Linked DNA regions of Canis lupus familiaris. The protein of the gene in region 5 purifies or fractionates together with the protein of the main gene of each other region. This does not show direct contact. Links are inferred from orthologs where the notes say so. Each region holds a gene or a part of one and is shown on either strand. Other genes may lie near its edges.

Region 1 (4,281 bases), on a different chromosome or scaffold from region 5:
ACAGATCATCTTTGGGTTTAATCCTATCACCCTTCTGTTCTCTACATCCCTGCCTCCCTGCCTCTCCCTGGCCTGGTTCGAGGTCTCGCCCTCCACTGGGGCAGCCCAGCCCTTCCTCCTGGGCATGGAAACCTCCAACCTGGGGCAGGCTGCCGTCCCGCTGAGGCCTCACTGCCCTCGGGAGCCAGCTCCAACCACCCGGGTCCAGCAGCCCCTCCCTGCATTCACTGCAGCACCGTCCCATGTGAAAAAGAGGTACCTTTATTTGAACAGAACAAGCTCGCTGGCCTGAGAGCAAATGCTTCCAGGTCCGCCTAGAGGCGGCTGGCCAGGGGCTGCCCCATCAGCAGGAGGAGGATTCACAGTGGCTCCAAGAGGCGTGGCCCCCACGCCCTTCACAGCATCGTCTGGCCTTGTACATTCAGCCTGCACAGAGCAGGAGACCTGTGCCAGCCTCAGGTGCCGCCAGGCCCCAGATGGACGTGCCCAAGGGGCTGGGCGCAGCTTCTAGGAGTGGACACTTGTCCCCCGGTAGCAGCATGTGGCACCAACAGGTACCAGACCAGTCTAGGGGGGTCCCCGAGGCACGAGCATAGGGGGGCTTACTGGGTTGTCTGTCCAACCTGCCCCCGTCCCCCGCCACCATCGTGGGCTTTTGAAGTCTTTAAGCCAAGCACCTGCTGCAGCAAATCCAGGCCTGACCAGGACACCCAGGGCCTGGAGAAAACAGGGAGTGAGTGCTTGTTCCAGTCCCAGTAGAAAAGGTGGCGAGCCCCACCCAACTCAGGCCTTCAAGCCACCCAGCTGGAACCTGGCCTCCTCAGATATGCCGAACTGCTCCAGGGGGTCCTGTGTGGATGAACCAGCAGCATGAGCCGGGGCCCCAGAGGCCGCTGCCCGGCCCCCTGCCCCCTGCCCCCTGCGCACCTTGCCAGTCATCTTCTGGATCTCATTCCTGTAGAATATGAGGCTTCTCCGCATGAACTCGTAGCTGGGGGAGAAAGTGGAATGTGCTCACTCAGGCCCCCCCCTCCCCAGCCCCTGGGCAGGCCCACACCTCACCTGGCTCGACGCAGAGCCCCCATCCACTCCTGACACTGCTCCTCACTGCAGCACTCAAAGTGGTACTTCCTCTCTGGGTCCTCCATGAAGCCTGCGGAGGGAGCGGTCTGTCTGTCCCATCTCACTGCCCGCCGCCCCCTCCGAAGCCCCCCCACGGGCCTCCACCTTCCTCCAGGCCAAGACGACTCCCAGCGGCTGAGTGGACTGAATGGTGCCCCCCACACAGTAGTTCCAGTCCTAACCCTAGAGCCTGTGGCCCAGATACAGAACCCTTCAGAGTGCGGCTACTTAATAAGTCAGGGGAGAATAGGCGGCACAGGACGTCCCCGAGAACATGAAGGGGGGACACGAACACCCTAGGAGTCCTTCTGCAGAGGCAAGGGCGCTGCCAGCTGCCGGCCACCCCGGAAGCCAGGCTCGCCTGGGACAACCTCCCCGACAAGGATCCCCCGCAGGCCCAATGACGTCACTTCTCCAGCCCCAGGGCGCCCACAGCAGGGCCCGGCAGCCCAGTGCAGCACTGCCCAACAGGAGACAAGGTCCTAGAGGAGCTGCACCCCGGCAGCCCGAGGGAAGGGTGGACTTTGTCTCCGCGCAGACCCGCGGCCGGGCCGAAGGGGCAGGGCGGGCGCGGCACTCACAGATGGAGAAGCCGCTGGGCTCTTCCTGGGTGATTCTGCAGCGCTCCAGCAGCAGGGCTCCGACGGGCTGCGGGAGGGGGCGAGTGGGGACCGGCCTCGTGGGGACCCGGGCCCCCGCCCCCGCCGGACCCCAAAGCCCGCCCGGCGCGCCCCCCCCCACACCTGTCCGGGCCCCGCTCCCGGCCCCTCCCCCCGCCCCGACTCCTGTCCGGGCCCCGCCCCCGGCCCCTCCCTCCCCTCCCCCCCAGGCCCCCTCCCTTCCCGGCCCCGACACCTGTCCCGGCCCCTCCCCCGGCCCCGCCCTCCCCTCCCCCCCCCCAGGCCCCCCTCCCTCCCCGGCCCCGACACCTGTCCCGGCCCCGCCCCCCGGCCCCGCCCTCCCCTCCCCCCGCCAGGCCCCGCTCCCTTCCCGGCCCCGACACCTGTCCCGGCCCCGCCCCCGGCCCCTCCCCCGGCCCCGCCCTCCCCGCCCCCCGGGCCCCCGCTCTCTTCCCGGCCCCGACCCCCGCCCGTCGGCCTACCTCGGCCTCGTCCGTCCGGAAGTAGAAGAGGAAGTTGACCACCAGCTTCACCAGCCGCCGCTTCAGCACTGCGGGCACAGGGCGGGCTCACGCGGGCTCGGCCGCCACCCACCCCCGCCCGGCCAGCCCGCCCGCCCGCCCGCCCGGCGCTCCGGCCCGCTCACCACTGCCTTTCTTGGGGCCTCGCATGCCCAGCTCGGCCGCCAGTTCGGCCGGCTGCCGGGACAGCGCCTGCAGCTCCTTCTCGTTGTAGCGCATGGCGCTGCCAGGACCCAAAACGCGGAGCGCGGGCCGCGCCCTCCCGGCCGCCGTCCCCTCTCGCGCCAAAAAAGTCCTACAGTGCCGTCCCGGAAGCGCCGTCGCGGCCACTGCGCTTGCGCGGCCCCGAGACACGCATTGTGGTGTTGGCCGGCGCGCGGCGCTAAGCCAGGCCCGCGTGGGGGAGCACGCGATACCGGCCGACACGGACGGCCGTTATAAATAACCACGCAGTCAGCTGGATCCGAGGTGGGAACCCAGGAAGGCAGCCTCACGACCGTGGCGCCCTCTACCGACGAGCCCACGCCCGCCCTCCCGCGGAAACCGGCCCGGCGCCCGCTAGGCGTGGAGAGCCTGGTGCGCACGCGCACTCCCGAGTTCCGGCCCTTATTCCCAGCCCCGCCCCCTTTCCTCGCCCTCTCGAGCATCAGGTCCGCCTCGCCTGGCGAAGCACGCATGCGCACACGGGAAGCCCTCACCCCTCTCCCCAGACCCCACCGTTTGCCCCCGGAAGCGCTTCTGTAGCCCGCGACGCGCCTGCGCATAACGTCTTCGTGGCAGCGGCGGGCGCGGGGTGAGGAGTCGCGCGGGGTGAGGATCCGGGCTGGCCGAGCGCGGCGGTCCCGGGGCCCTGGCTTCCCCGGACGGGAGCGGCGGGGGGCGGGGGGCTCTCGGGTTCGCGGCGCCGCCGGGCCCCAGCTCCCTGGCCGCGCGCGGGGTCGGGCCCGACGAGTCCCGCCTCCTCGGAAGTGTGCGGGTCGGGTCGGGGCCCGGCGGCGCCGTGGGGTCCCTGGCGGCGGGTCGGGGGGGGGGGGGAGGCCGAGGGGGCGCCCGCGACGGGCCCGCGCCCTGGCGTCCCGGGGCTGACGTTGACTTCGGTTGTCCGCGAACGTGCGTGCTGAGAATTTAGGGTAACAAGCTCTAGACTGAGCATCCCTCTTGGGGCCCCCAGGCGGCCCAGGGCGTGACCCCGGGGTCCCGGGATCGAATCCCCCATCGGGCTCCGCGCAGGGGGCCTGCTGCTCCTCTGCCTGTGTCTGCCTCTCTCTGTGTGTCTCTCATGAATAAATACAATCTTTAAAAAAAAAAAAAAGATTTGTATTTGTTTATTAGAGAGGGGGAGGTAGAGTACAAGCAGGGGGAGGAGAGGGAGAAGCAGGCTGACTGCTGAGCGGGGAGCCCGGGACCCTGGGGTCACGACCTGAGCCACCCGCGCCTCCCGATGGTCTCTGTCCACGGGGGTCTCTGTCCTTTTTTCCGTCCGAACAATGAGATTCTCTCAAGCCCCGGGCCCGGGCTGTTTCCCTTTCTTTGGGAATGCTTTCAGATTTCTTTGAGGATGCCTTCCATGCTTCTTGCTGTTCTCGCTCTGAAATTTCATCTAAGTCCTGTTCTCTTACTTTCCCCCCTGTTTTGCGTTTCTTTGTAAAAGGTTGGTTTGACTTGTACCCGCAAGCTCTTAAGTTCAGCTGTTTCCAAAGGTCTTGGGTTTGGGTTTTAACTGCCCTTGCTAACCTTTGGTGCCGTGCTCTGCATTGGAGGTGTAGTAACTCTCACCCTGTTTTGTTTTGTTTTGTTTTAATTTTTATTTATTTATGATAGATATATATATAGAGAGAGAGGCAGAGACAAAGGCAGAGGAGAGGGAGAAGCAGGCTCCATGTGCCGGGAGCCCGACGTGAGACTCGATCCCGGGACTCCAGGATCACGCCCTGACCGCTGAGCCACCCAGGGATCCCCCCTCTCACCCTCTAATTAAGGAGGATGCTAACATTGCCTGGGGGGGTGGGGGGTGGCTA
Region 2 (2,863 bases), on a different chromosome or scaffold from region 5:
ATATCTTCAGTTGTTTTGTTACATAGTGTGCAACAAATTACAATATTCTGCAGCCACAAATTATATGCAGAGTATGAAGAAACTATTAATCAGATAGTGTAATCTTTCCGTTTATAACTCTACAAGGAAGAACTAGCAAATCAGATCTTACATATAACATCTCACTAAACTTTATGCATGGAAAGTGACAGACACTGGTTGTGCTGTTTGATACAAAATGGCTGAACTTCATCTTCAGAAGACTAAACCTGACATCTAAACATGCCAATATAAACATCAAAACAAAATATATTCTAACCAACCACGGGAAACAGTCTGGTATCAGGAAAGCAACAAGGATTACACACATTATTTTATAAACCAGCACACAAAGGTTTAAAACAGTTCTGAAAATGAAGTTAGCTGTCTTGAGTCAAGGGAATAAAAAAAAAGTCAGTATTGACCATTTACAATCTCTGACCTTTGTGGAGACGGTAAGAATCTGTTGTAGTGCAGCTACATACAGTACAATTCAGGCAATTTTGTTTTTTCACTTGGGTTCAGATTGCAAATTCTTTGCTGTGAGAGAAAGACGGAGGCAAATTTTAGCAGCAACCTCCACCTGACTGCTTGACCGGAGTGCTCTGAATTTTCACATTGGACTTCTCTGCACCACCAGCTGTTGCTCCAGGACCCATTCGCTTTTTAATCTCAGCTGCCATCGTCATGAAAGACTGTTCTACATTCGTTGCGTTCTTAGCACTGGTTTCCAAAAATGGAATTCCAAGGGAATCTGCAAATTCCTAAGAGAATAGGAAGCCTTAATTAACACTGACAATTTTTTCCCACCTAGTGCATTTCTATCATCTGAAATGGGGAGTGAGGAAGGACTAAGTTTAAGTGAATCCATAGATACTGCATGGATTGTCACTATCTGCGTGATCCAGTGCACATATGTAGGTGGCTATGGCTGTCGTGTGACTCCACACCCACACACAATTCAAACTGAACACCTTCAAATTCTGGCTGAAAATCAAACTTGAAACATACCTTTGCTGTTGTGTAGTCTACTACTTTCTTTGTGGTCAGATCGCATTTGTTCCCTACCAACAACTTGTTGACGTTTTCACTGGCATAACGGTCTATTTCCTGCAGCCACTGTTTAACATTATTGAAGGACTCCTAAGAAAACAGACATTTTTAAGAATGATCATAGCTCTGGACACAACAGCTCTAAACAAGCAAGTAAAAGGTCTTTCCTGGCCTAAGAAGAGACTAGTGAGACAATTTGAGCTGTGCTGGGAAGAAAGTGAAGTGACATACTAAAATGACTAACCGTACCTGCATGAAAAAGAGATTAGAATTTGAATGCTTAAGAAAGAGAACATACCAGTTCATCATTAAACTACAGCTCAGTCAAATCTAGCTGTTTTGGAATATGCAATTTAAATGCACCTATAAAAACCTGGTTTTTGAAATTTGATAAAACGCTGGTTCATATACTAGAGTGCCTACCTACATGATAATACTAGAGATATCAAAAGATATTAAATAAATGGGTCCAAGGTAAAGAAAGATGTTTTTCTTTTTCACAGACCTATTGAGGGGAGGAAAATTTTCATACTTCATAATATCATGGTAATGACTTGAGATTTTTAAAATTAGCATCATTTCTTCTATTGACATCAGTGACCCAATACTTCTAATGGCACTAAAGTCTAGGATTCTAGCTATCTCTTAATTAGCTATGATTTCACAGTAGCAGTGAGATTTAACATCTGCCCCAAGAAAAATGTATTTAAATAGTCAAAGTTTACCTTTCATTATTTGATAAGAAAAAAAGGACCCTGAAGTTTTCTTATCAAAAGAACATTCATGGCCCCTAGACCACCATCTTCACACTACCTCTATATCCCCTATGTTCTTTCAACAGCTTATCTTTTAAAAGGGGGGAGGGGAAAATTTTTTTTTTAAAAGGGGGAGGGAGGGGAACAATGAGCATCTAAAGATTATTTTATTTTTTAAAGATTTTATTTATTTATTCATGAGAGAAACAAAGACACAGGCAGAGGGAGAAGCAGGCCCCATGCAGGGAGCCCGATGCAGGACTCGATCCTGGGTCTCCAGGATCAGGCCCTGGGCCAAAGGTGGCACTAAACCGCTGAGCCACTGGGGCTGCCCCAAGATTATTTCTTTTAGAGCAAAAGAGCTGCTCAAACGGGAGGATGGGGCAGAGAGAAAGAAGCAGCAGACTCCCTGCTGAGCATGGAGCCTGATTTGGGGCTTGAGCTGTGACCCCGAGATCACAACTTGAGCCTGAGCTGAAACCAAGAGTTGGCCACTCCACAGACTGAGCCACCCAGGTGCCCCCTCATTGTCCTCTTAAAAATCTTCCTCCAGCTCATCCTATTTCGGACCCATATCCTCCACACACAGAGACCTCTAATCTCACTTTTGACAACTCTAAGAGGTCTAGCAAATTCCTGCTAATACTTAACACCAAGAACACAGTACACACTAAACAATCCACAGTTCCCTATGAACTCTTGCTGAAATGATCAAAAGATTTAGTTGATAATAAATATAAGCAGAGTCCCTTGAAAGCAAATGTAAAGCCAATTACTAAATTTTCTATTAAAGGAAAATAATGTAAAATTTTGGTTGGATATTCAAATAATGGAGGGGAGAAAAATATCAATGTACCTGCTTTAAACTTCCTACTTTGTCACTAACAAAACGTACCCCCGGAACTTACCTGATCTGTCACGTCATACACAACTATGATGCCATGGGCTCCTCTGTAATAACTGGAGGTGATTGTTCGAAATCTTTCTTGGCCTGCTGTGTCCCACTGTTAAAAACAATCAAGAAATCCAAAAAATTC
Region 3 (3,515 bases), on a different chromosome or scaffold from region 5:
CCCTCTGTTATTACCTCTGCTGTGCTCATTCTCTGTCAAATAAATAAATAAATAAATAAATAGATAGATAGATAGATAGATAGATAGATAGATAAAATCTTTTTTAAAAAAATAGAAATGCTTCAGATCAAGAAGGAGTGATAGAAGTAGAATAGCAACACTTTGCAAACCTTTCCTAAAATGAGAGATTTAGATAGTACAGGAAACAGAGGACTGCATTATCACCACAGACACAGCAAAACCCAGACTGTGGGTACCAAGGCACCTAGTTTCTTCAATACCCCCGAAAAGAAATTGGCAAGAAAAAAGGGAGGAGAAAGAACCTAAAGACTAAAGAAACACTTCAGCTCTCTATGATGTGGACTTTCTCTGAGTCCTGAAAGCAGCGAGCTTGATTCCAGACTCCAGGGAGCTGTCCACTTACTGGATTATCAGGAGCAGTTACCTTGTCTCCAGTGTTGTGTTGATATTGTCCTTGCTTTTTAAAGAATGCTTATCTTGGGGCAGCTGGGTGGCTCAGTCAGTTAAGCAACTGCCTTCATTCAGTTCAGGTCATGACCCCAGAGTCCCTGCTCAACAGGGAATCTGCTTCTCTGCCCACTCCCTGCTCATGCTCGTTCCCTCTCACGCGCTCTCTCTCTCAAAAAGGTGAAATCTTAAATCAAAACAAAAAAGAACTTAAAGTGTGCTTATCTTTGAGGTCAAATTTATGGGTGCATTGTTACATGGCCAGTGAAAGGGGGACTTTAGGGGCGGACAGTATGGGTGCTGCAGAAAGACTGGCCATGAGTTGTTCACTGGGAAGCCAGGGGATGGGTAGATGGGAACTTGTTACCCTATCCTCTAGTTTTGAAAAGTATAGTGTTTTCTATAATAAGATTTTTAAGTAAAGTACGCGAAGGGAAAGTACATATGACCACTGATGTAGCTGTAATGATTTCCAGGCGAAACGGATCTCAACGCTGCCATCACCGAAGCAGGAAAGACTTACGAAGAAATTGCTGGTCTTGTGGCAGAGCAGGTATCCACAGAGACCCATGTAGCTCCAGGGCACAGCAGCTGCTGTCCAATCCACATGTTCTTTCAACCTATTTTAAAACAAACTTTGCCAACAACTCTCCTCTTATGTTCCTCTGTATCTTTTGTTAATTGTATATGGTAATAGTGTTTCTTTGGTTAAGCTAAAGTGATGGATACATTTATCATCGAGAAATCTAAATGAGTATCTTCCAGTGTCAATGGCTGGATCCATCCTCAGCCATCAGGAGTTGGAATGTTCTATCAGGAACACCGTTCATATCACCATTTAGACTCTTAGCTTGTCTGAGGCTGCTTTACCCACCTGGTAAACGGTGGTAGTAGAGCCTACTCTGTAAGGTTCTCAGCATTCAGCAGCCACAAAGGAGAAGGCACCAGTGGGGGATTTGGCAGGGAGAAGGTCTTTGATAGAGTCACATGGCTTTTACTGAGGCCTTCAGTAGTCCTGATTCCAGTTCTTTTGACAGATAACCAATAACAAATTCCCTTAAGGGGAATAGACATCTGTGTTGACATTTGTGTCTCAAATCCCTAAATTAAAAGTTTTTCAGACAACTTCTTGAAATACGTATTTGTGCACATACACCCGTTGCACACCCCTTCGTGTTAGTCATTGACTACTGCTCCTTATAGAAAAAGATTAGGTTGAAAAAAAAGAAAAGAAAAGAAAAAGATTAGGTTGTAGAAATGCATAACATAGCTATTAAAATTATAATTCAGAAAAATTGAAATATTTTAAGTTGCCACTTAAGATAGTTACCAGATCTTTAGTAATAATTTACATTCTCTGCCAAAATTTAAACATTAAGTTACTACATCTTCTTTGCTTGTGTATGAGTAATATTAACCAGTTTTCCCCCCTAATAGTATTATATTTGAAGCCGCCTCAAAATAACTAATTTTTATCAGCCAGCCTAAAAACGATCTGATGTTTTATGATTTTCTCTCCAATCTACAATTGAGAATGTAGTAGTCTTGGGGCCTGTTTTCTTGCAGGAAAACTAGGCTGATTGCATAGCCCTTGGTATGGTAACTAGTACCCCAGGGGCTTGGCTCATGCAAGTCCTCTGGGCAACTGTTTTCTTGGCCTTGATGGTCTGGATTTCTCTGCCAGGAATAACCACCCTGTGTCTTGTTTTAGCCAAAGAAAGATCTTCATTTCCTCATGGAATGTAATCATGAATATAAAGGCTTCCTTGGCTGCTTCCCTGATATTATCGGCGCCCACAAGGTAACTTAAGCACAGAAGTGCACAGATGACACGGGTGACCTAGGGCTGCTACGCAGGGCCACCTGCATGGCCACCTGCGAGGGCCCTGTCGGTCAGCTTGGCCCCAAGTAAGGAAGAGCTTTCTGAAATCGGCCGGAGCTGCCTGTGGTGTTCAGTTAGTGAGGTCCCATAACACATATAGGCTATGGGTTATTGTTTCTTTGATTCTATAGACAGACTATTTTGAGGGAACAAAAATGTGAAAAATACTCCTTTCTGCCTATACTTAGGTCAGGTATCAAACAAAATAATCATGCTATTTGAAATTCAAAACAAGATTAGGAATACTGCTTCCCTTACTAGTGAGACCTCTGTAAGCTGCTTGGGCAAGTCACTAAAGACCCTTCCTTCCCCGTCAAGATGAAGTAAGATATTCTGTCCCTGGGCCTGACGAAGGGTTCCTAATTAAAACTTAAATGGTCAACGTCGATTTTATATTTTTGTGCTAATAAGGAAACTATAGAAGTCCCACCATAAAGGTATTTTTTGAACTGAATTTTGACATGTTTTGGGATGTCCTCACTTTTTGATTCTGGTTAGTTTTTCTGTTTCCAACTCATTATTTCAGAATAGGGGCATTTTATCAACTATAGTACTCTGGGATGTTGTAATATACTTGAATTTATTAGGAAAATCTCTGCCAAGGGCTGGTCTGTGACCCTAACAATTCTGACATGTGGCCATTTTAGCATTCAGCTCAATAATACAAGCCTCAGGAAGGGGTAGTATGGGCAAATAGGAAGCTTTGTGCAACTTCAGATAATTTAATATGAAACTCAGAACATTCTCTTTACCAAGTGGACACTTGGGGGGTGTTTCGGTATTGTGGCTGTTGTGGGTAATGATAGGAATGCAGTGATCTCTCTGAGATAGTGGTTTCCCCTTCTTCAGATATGTACCCAGAAATGCAATTGCTAGGGGAGTAGATCTTAAATGTTCTCGTCACAAGGGGAAAAACAAACTTGTAACTCTGTGAGGTGATGGATGTTAACTGTTACTGTGGTCATCGTCCTGCAGTAAAGACAGACCTCAGATGGTTATGTTGTACTGTCGTACACCTTCAACTCCTACCTTGCTGTCTGTGAATCACATCAACAAAACTGGCGGGGGTGGAGAGGGATAGGGAATAAAATAAACATAATAAAACTAAAAGTCTTAGTTAAAAAAACATCTCAGAAGAGTTAGCTTGTTGTAGGGATTTATGCCA
Region 4 (3,967 bases), on a different chromosome or scaffold from region 5:
CCCCAAATTTCTCAATAGCTCGGGGCATCGTAGTTCCTGAGGCTTTGCCTTCCCCCAAAATCAGCGAATCAAAGAAGGTCTCAGGGTGCCAAGGGGTAATGGTTGGACCAAACCAAGCAGATTCATCTATTCCTTCCTTTTAACTAGTGTTCTTCAGTACCAGATCCCATTCTTGCTCAGGAGGAACTCTAAGTTTGGTGGAGGAGAGGTTCACGATTTTGATTTGATATCTGTAGAATGGCGTTATGGTTGCCCCCAAAAGGCATTGTACATTGGAAAGTGGTTAAAAGACAAAATGTAGGTTAAATCCCTGCTCTGTTATCCTGAGAGCTGTGTGACCTTGGGCAAGTCACGCAACCTCTCTGGACCACAGGTTTAAGGTCTGCCTAAATAGGCTTAGATTGAAATTACTGTTTCCTCGGTTCTGAGAACGGAGGTTTCAACATCTTGGCCCCAGACAAGAGAGGGGGAAGGGGACGGGAAGACTTCCTGGAAGAAGATTTAAGGAGTCGGGGGTGGAAGAGAGGAGGGAGAAAGTGGAAACAGGCAGACGCTTGCGCAGTAAACATCTCACATTTTCTTGCCCCTCCCAACCACTTCTCTGCAGCGGGGAATTGCAGGCGACGCTCCACCTATCCAGGGCAAGACGAGTGACAACCCCGTCCCCCTTCCTTCTCTACCTATGATCGCCTTTCTCCCGCCCCCACAACCGCCCAATCGGGGGCGGGAACTGAGGAGGTCTGGCGAATCCGCGACGCCTGCGTGGGCGATCTGCCCGCTCATTGGTCTAGATAAATGCAAGTCCCGCCTCCCAAGCCCCCGCCCCCGCCTTCCTTCTTGTCAATCCCTCCCTTCGCCGGATCCAATCAGCAAGGGACCCGGCCTCACGGAGGGGGCGGTCCCACCACACGTAACCGAACTCCGCCCGTCTCTCGGGCAACGCCCCTTTCCCCCGCCCCCCGCGAACGGAAATAGCGGGCCACTGGGCCAATCGCAGCAGCGTGCCTTTGTCCAGCGACCAATGAGAGAGAGGGCGGGGGGCGGTTGCGTCCGATTCTGAGCGGCAGTAACTCGAGCCAATGGGAGGTTGATAGCTCAGGACGGCGAACGGGAGGGGAGGGGCCGGGGGCGGAGCCGCGGCCTGCCGCCCGCCCGCCCGCCCGCCAGCCCGCCCTCCCCCCTGGCCGGCTCTGCTTCTCGGCGCTGCTTGGGGTCCTTTGCTCCCGGTCCCCGCCTGCCAGCCCCCGCTGCGCTGTGCCCTGCCCGGCCAGGCCTGGAGCCGACACCACCGCCATCATGCCGGCCGTCTCCAAGGGCGATGGGATGCGGGGGCTCGCGGTGTTCATCTCCGACATCCGGAACTGTGAGAGCGCGGCCGGGGGACACTGGAGGGCGGGGGAGCATGGAATTGAGGGGCTCGGGGATTACTGAGGGGCCCGGGGCATTGAAAGCCATCGCGGGCGAAGGGGGGGAGGATAGAGAGGCCCCGGGGGGAACTTTAGGGTGGGAGCAATGGAAGGACTTAGGGTGTCATAGAGTGCCTCTTGAGGTGACGACACGGAGTGGCTAGAGGCGTCCGGGAGGGTGTTAAAGGAAAGGTCCCGGGGCTGGGGACATAAGGGTGTCCCCTGGGAATGCTAGAGAGGCTGGAGGAACCTATCAATGGTGGGGAGAGAGAAATCCTTGATGTCGGTAGAAAGGGAAGGAGGTGCATGGGTGGGGGGTACCCTGTGGAGCGATAGAGTGGGAGAGGGCCCGAGGAGACCGGGAGGACGTAAAACACAGGAAGCATCATGGGGTCTGGCTTTGAGGGCCTAGCTGGGGGGTGTCATAGAAGGGAAGGGGCTAGGTAGGTCACGGAGGCTCCTGGGTGGTGCACAGAGCGAATCTGAGAGTAATAGAAAGTCCCAGGGGGTTGAGGAAGAGAGATGGGAAGGTGGGACTATATAGCAGGACCTTGAAGAGGGAGAGAGGGACTCCAGGATGGAGGGCAATGGAGAGGGGGGCTGAAGGGTCGCTACAGGGAAAGGAGGGGTTGAGGAATATGGAGGAGAGTTGCTGGGGGTGGAGGGTCTTGGGAGAACCCGAGACAGGAAGCTAGGGGCCTGGAACAAAGAAGAAGAGGTTACAAAGTGGGGGCTTGAGGAATGTGCCAGAATGGGGAGAGCCCAGAGCTCAAAAGAAGGGCCCAGGGAGCCTTAGGATTTTGTTGGGAAGAGATCTGGAAAGCTGGGGGTTGGGGGAAGCCTGATCCCAGAGGGAGGTCAGAGGTCAGGGAGCAGGCCAGTCCTGAATCTGGAGCCCTCTCTCATCTGACCACATCAATATGGGGACAGTGAGCAGCAGCAGCAAGAATTGTCGTGACGATGAGAGGCCTGGTGCCAAGTCAGCTTCCCAACTCCTGGGAGTGGGTGTTGGTGTTTGGAGCTGCCAAGAGCTTTGGAGGCTATATCCGCAGGGGCTCTAGGGTCAGCCGGACCTGAGCTTGAGTTTGAGTGCTGTCACTCCCTAGCCATGTGACCTTGAATGGGGGATTTCGCCTTTCTATTTCCTCATCTGTCAGGAGGGACTGCTGATTGCACCTTCCTGATGAGGTTGTTGTGATAAATGCATGTGAGTGAGGCCTTCTGCACATTCCAAACACTGGACAGTCTTGGCTATTGTTTTTGTCATTTGGTGGATCTGACAAGTGGCCTCTGTTAGATGCCTGGAGATTATTTTGGAATTTGGTAGATATGAAAGGACTTAGTACATAGTAGGTGCTCAGCGAAAGAGGGCTGGAAGGTGTTGGGAGTCAGGTGAAGGAGAGATGTTGTGGTTACTATGGTAAGAGGTGAGTGAGAAGGGGCTGCGGGTTAGGTGGGGGGCCATCTATCAGGAGTAGGTGTGCATTGCCCCAGATGCCTACCAGCAATGTGAAGTGATGTGACTCTTGGCGAGTCATTTAACTTCTCTGAGTCCCAGTTTTTTCTTTTTTTTTTTTTCTTTCTTTCTTTCTTTCTTTCTTTTCTTTTTTTTAGACTTATTTATTTTAGAGAGAGACAGAAAGAGAGCACAAGGAGGAGGGGCAGAGAGAGAGGGAAAGAGAGAGACTCTCAAGCAGACACTGCATTGAGCACAGAGCCCAACTCAGGGCTTCATTTCACGACCCTGAGATCACCACCTGAGCCAAAATCAAGAGTCAGCTGCTCAGGCACCTCGAGGCTCCTATTTTCTTATCTGTAAACTTCCTTGATAATATCATCTTGTCTCTGAAGGTTCATTCATTCATTTATTCAACAAATGCTTTTTGATCACTACTTTTTTTTTTTAGATTGTATTTATTTATTCATGAGAGACACAGAGAAAGAGGCAAGGACACAGGCTGAGGGAGAAGCAGGCTCTCTGCTGGGAGTCTGATGCGGGATCACGACTTGAGCCGAAGGCAGATACCCAACCACTGAACCACCCAGGTGCCCCTGATCACTACTTTTTGACACTACACCTGGGACTAGGCTATAACAGCCAACAAGAATCTCTGGCTTGGGAGCACCCAGGCCATGAGGGACATAGAAAATAAACACTGAACTACAATAAATGACACTATGTCAGAAGGTAATGTGAAGGAAAGTCAGGAAGGAAAGATAAGGAAGGACCAGGATTGAGATGGTGCCTGAGTAGGCCTCCCCAAGGGGGTGACATGTGAGTAGACTTTTGAGTGAAGTGAAGGAACAGACCCTGTAGATTTTGGAGGGCAGAGGGGTCCAGGTGGAGGGATGGTGCATTTAGAGGTCCTGGGGTGGCAGTATGCTTGACGTGTGTTCTGGTAAGAGGGAGGGGACTTGTGTGGTTGGAGCTGAGGGGGGAGAGGGCAGGAAATGAGGGCAGAGAGAGGGGACAGGGATTGTGGAGGGCTTTACAGGCCTTAGCACTCTGGCCTTTCTCTGGGTGAAACGAGAGAAGGGTTAGAGCACAGGAGGGGCTTGAG
Region 5 (3,515 bases):
ATAAGGTAATCATTGACTCTGCAGTTGTTTTTCAATTCCTTTTAGGAACTTTTGACTTCTCTCTGTATCAGACTCATACTGAAAGGAATCAAGGGGTAGGTAACAACGACTTTTAATAAACATGGAACATAGGACCCACAGCACTGGCACTGTTTTGCTTCAGGCCATTGATCACTCCTGCCACCACATGTGTTGTCACTAGGACACAGAAGAGGATGGGAAACATTGGTGACTAGTTTAAAGGACTGATCAAGTGTGAACATCATTCTATATGCCATATTCCCCTGATTCTCACACGTTGAGCCAAACCTCCCAAGAGGTTGATAAATTCTGTAACAGCTCAGCTGCATACCTGGACCACTAAAATATCAAACCCCAATTAGGATTAGTCTGCCCTGAATAATAGGAAGGAAACTGTCCCTGAGGGAGCTGGAGGAAGAAAGCAAATCGGGTCTCTGTGTGGTTTTTTTCCTGGAGCCACATTCCCTTGACTTAAGGTAACCCAGCTGGCAGTAATCACTCTGTGGCTGAAGCACTGCTCATTTTCCTGGAAGCCCTGCCAGAGCCTGTCATATGTTATGAGCTGTATCAGCGATGCCTTGACTCTGCTCAGGATCCCCAGAACTGCCGACAGGTGAGTTTTACTGTCCTGTGTGTCTGAGGCAAGTGCCCCCATAGAGAAATCAATTTAACAAGGCCAGGTGTATATCTAGCTGTGTGGTAGGGTGGATCTGAATCTGTTATTCATGACAGGACACCAGCATTGAGAGTTGGGACTTTTAAATTTTAGGTTGTGTTATTTCCTGTTATATTTGCCACACTTTTCTAGTTGGCCTATTGAATAGGGCAGATACCTCTGCTCTGGCATAGGATTGGTGAAGCTGATCATATATAGAATTCTGGCTGAATTACCAGAAAGGGTCAGTGATGCTTGTAAGCCTTTCTCCTTTTTGTCTTCTTGGTGTTTTTTGGTTTGGTTTGGCGGTTTTTTAGATTTTATTTATTTATTTGAGAGAGAGAGAGAGAGACCATGTGCACATGACTGATGGGGAAGGGCAGAAGGAGAGAGAGAGAGAAGCAGACCGCCTGCTGAGTGGGGAGCCTGCCACAGGGCTCTATCCCAGGACCCTGAGATCATGACCTGCGCCAAAGACAGATGCTTGCTTAACTGACTGAGCCACCCAGGCGCCCCCTTGGTGTTTTTTAAAGATTTTATTTCTACATAATCTACACCCAATGTGGGGCTCGAACCCACAACCCGGAGATCAGGAGTTGCACACTCCACTGACTGAGCCAACCAGGTGTCCCTTCTTGGTGTTTTTTTTTTTAAGATTTTAAAAATTTATTTATTCATGAGAGACACAGAGAGAGGCAGAGATATAGGTAGAGACTCGATCCCAGGACTAGACCTAACCCTAACTAGGACTAGATCTCAGGAATAGACCTGAGCCAAAAGCAGATGCTCAACAATTAAGCCACCCAGGCATCCTTGGTGTTTGTTTTTCTTTTATTTTTTTTAATTTTTAAAGATTTTTATTTATTCATGAGAGATACAGAGAAAGAGGGGCAGAGACAGGCTGAGGGAGAAGCAGGCTTCATGCAGAGAGCCCGATGTGGGACTCGATCCTGGGACCCCAGGATCACACCCTGAGCCGAAGGCAGACGCTCAACCGCTGAGCTACCCAGGTGTCCCGGTGTTTGTTTTTAATTCTGAAATAATTTTGATGCACAGTAGCTAAGAATACCTCTCAGTCAGACTAGTGAGTATTGGGAGGAGCTCCCATCTATGTTAAATGACATTGCAGAGAAAACCATTGAGCTTGGCAGATGCCATGGCTACCTGTCTGAGGAGACTGAAAAAGACCAGATTAATAGTAACCTGCTTGTAAGGTGGGATGTGTTTGTGTAAATGTGTGATGACCACATCACACATGTGAATATGGCCTGGTCTTTGAGTGGACAGGGGCCAAACAGTATGACCATTCTGACTTGGAAGTTATCATTTGGCATGTACTCTGTTAATCATGAGGAAATAAAAGAGAGTCGTGTCAGATAAATGGGGTCCTGTATGGGTTGAATTATAAAGTACTGTGGCAGCTATGAGCTCTTCTTACTCCCTTCTTTCACTTGTTCTCCTTACTGCCCACCCCCCTTTTCTTAAAAACAGGTGATTTCCCAGCTTCCAAGATGCCATAAAAATGTTTTCCATTACTTGATGGCATTCCTTCGAGAACTCTTAAAATTCTCTAAGTACAACAATGTCAGCGAAAACATGATCGGTAAGAGTACTTCATTAAAACGACAGCATGAGCAGGAGGGTGGGCTGGTTGGGACAGCCTTCCTGTCCAGGTGCATGGCCTACTGCCCTCATCCAGTGGTCCCCCAGTTCCCATTCCTGAAGTTTTGCATAGATTGTATCTGACAAAGGGTTTTCCCCTTTCCTTTTTCTCACCCTCTAGCTACTCTCTTCACTAGTCTTCTCCTAAGGCCTCCACCCAACCTTATGGCAAGACAGACTCCAAGTGACCGTCAGCGTGCTATCCAGTTTCTTCTGGGGTTTCTTGAGAGTGATGAAGACTAATAAGCCTTTTCCTCTTACTACTCTCCGAGATTCTAGAGGTGGAAAATCTTGGGCACTAAGTATTTCAGAATGAAATGAAAAGTCATGCCACGAGAAGGGTCAGTTGCAGAATTTTGAGGCTTTTGGCATGAAAAGGTTATTTCTAGTACAAGAGGAAGAGAGTTTCCTAATCCCTCCCTTACCATATCCTACACAGCAAAATACTTTTAGACTTATATTGCCAAGCCAAAGGTACCATATTTTGGTGGTTTTGTGTTCTCTCTTTATAAGGCAAAGAGATCTGTATTTACACTCCTTTATCTGGGGATGTGTTTGTTGCCCTCCTCCCCAGCTGTCATGATTGTCCTTAGCACCTAGGCCTAGATTCTGAGATGTTCCTATTCTAGGCCTACATGCACTACGTGCTGTAGCTCAGACTTGTCTGTAGTCCTTCGTCTAAAGCACTTTTGCCCGACCCCCTCCCATATCACCCCTTTGCACTCTACTCGACTAACTCTATTACATCGAAGGAAGTCTGAGTGAAGCTAGTAACTATTCAGATGTCCCCAACAGTGAGTTTACCATCTTCATGTGGTTGTGACATGGCATTTGTGCATTTCTACTACAGTGGCATTTGTATGTCTCTGTAACATTGGCCTTTTCATGGATCTGCACTGGGTGGAACCGTATTCTTTTGTCTCAGACCATGTTTACTAGCAGAACTTTAGAGATTACTAGAGATGACATCCCATTGATGTGAGAGAATCATGATCAGAGTGGAAGCACTTTGAGCATTTTAAAAGTGAGAATATTTATGTTTGACAGGTCTTGCTTTCTACCATCCCTTTCTGTTCTTATTCAAATTTCACGTGAGAACTAATACTAGTTGTCTGGAGGATCCATTCCCCACTTAGAAATCCACCTCCAGAGCAAAATCCACCTCCATCACAGTCAG

Evidence for each region.
Region 1: the proteins of OCRL (region 5) and PLEKHJ1 purify together in Homo sapiens (co-immunoprecipitation; 3 studies listed by BioGRID and IntAct, counting the BioPlex papers as one, with this or other methods). This does not show direct contact. The link is inferred for Canis lupus familiaris from reciprocal best matches to the Homo sapiens genes OCRL and PLEKHJ1.
Region 2: the proteins of OCRL (region 5) and RAB1A purify together in Homo sapiens (co-immunoprecipitation; 3 studies listed by BioGRID and IntAct, with this or other methods). This does not show direct contact. The link is inferred for Canis lupus familiaris from reciprocal best matches to the Homo sapiens genes OCRL and RAB1A.
Region 3: the proteins of OCRL (region 5) and SNX9 purify together in Homo sapiens (co-immunoprecipitation; 3 studies listed by BioGRID and IntAct, with this or other methods). This does not show direct contact. The link is inferred for Canis lupus familiaris from reciprocal best matches to the Homo sapiens genes OCRL and SNX9.
Region 4: the proteins of OCRL (region 5) and AP2A1 purify together in Homo sapiens (affinity purification with mass spectrometry; 3 studies listed by BioGRID and IntAct, counting the BioPlex papers as one, with this or other methods). This does not show direct contact. The link is inferred for Canis lupus familiaris from reciprocal best matches to the Homo sapiens genes OCRL and AP2A1.

The regions. Positions count from the first base shown.
Region 1 is NC_049241.1:57,268,962-57,273,242, reverse strand, and holds PLEKHJ1 (pleckstrin homology domain-containing family J member 1), read right to left. Parts: upstream 2,813-4,281; 5' UTR 2,483-2,812; coding exon 2,389-2,482; exon of another isoform or gene 2,293-2,388; coding exon 2,225-2,292; intron 1,771-2,224; coding exon 1,704-1,770; intron 1,154-1,703; coding exon 1,063-1,153; intron 992-1,062; coding exon 928-991; intron 850-927; coding exon 784-849; 3' UTR 241-783; downstream 1-240.
Region 2 is NC_049231.1:65,853,999-65,856,861, forward strand, and holds the end of RAB1A (ras-related protein Rab-1A), read right to left. Parts: intron 2,831-2,863; coding exon 2,735-2,830; intron 1,162-2,734; coding exon 1,030-1,161; intron 783-1,029; coding exon 585-782; 3' UTR 511-584; downstream 1-510. UniProt on the Homo sapiens protein: The small GTPases Rab are key regulators of intracellular membrane trafficking, from the formation of transport vesicles to their fusion with membranes.
Region 3 is NC_049222.1:47,942,332-47,945,846, forward strand, and holds part of SNX9 (sorting nexin-9), read left to right. Parts: intron 1-445; exon of another isoform or gene 446-552; intron 553-944; coding exon 945-1,021; intron 1,022-2,179; coding exon 2,180-2,269; intron 2,270-3,515. UniProt on the Homo sapiens protein: Involved in endocytosis and intracellular vesicle trafficking, both during interphase and at the end of mitosis. Required for efficient progress through mitosis and cytokinesis. Required for normal formation of the cleavage furrow at the end of mitosis.
Region 4 is NC_049222.1:107,457,506-107,461,472, reverse strand, and holds the start of AP2A1 (AP-2 complex subunit alpha-1), read left to right. Parts: upstream 1-1,159; 5' UTR 1,160-1,296; coding exon 1,297-1,363; intron 1,364-3,967.
Region 5 is NC_049260.1:101,704,036-101,707,550, forward strand, and holds part of OCRL (inositol polyphosphate 5-phosphatase OCRL), read left to right. Parts: intron 1-506; coding exon 507-634; intron 635-2,167; coding exon 2,168-2,279; intron 2,280-2,459; coding exon 2,460-2,581; 3' UTR 2,582-3,515. UniProt on the Homo sapiens protein: Catalyzes the hydrolysis of the 5-position phosphate of phosphatidylinositol 4,5-bisphosphate (PtdIns(4,5)P2) and phosphatidylinositol-3,4,5-bisphosphate (PtdIns(3,4,5)P3), with the greatest catalytic activity towards PtdIns(4,5)P2.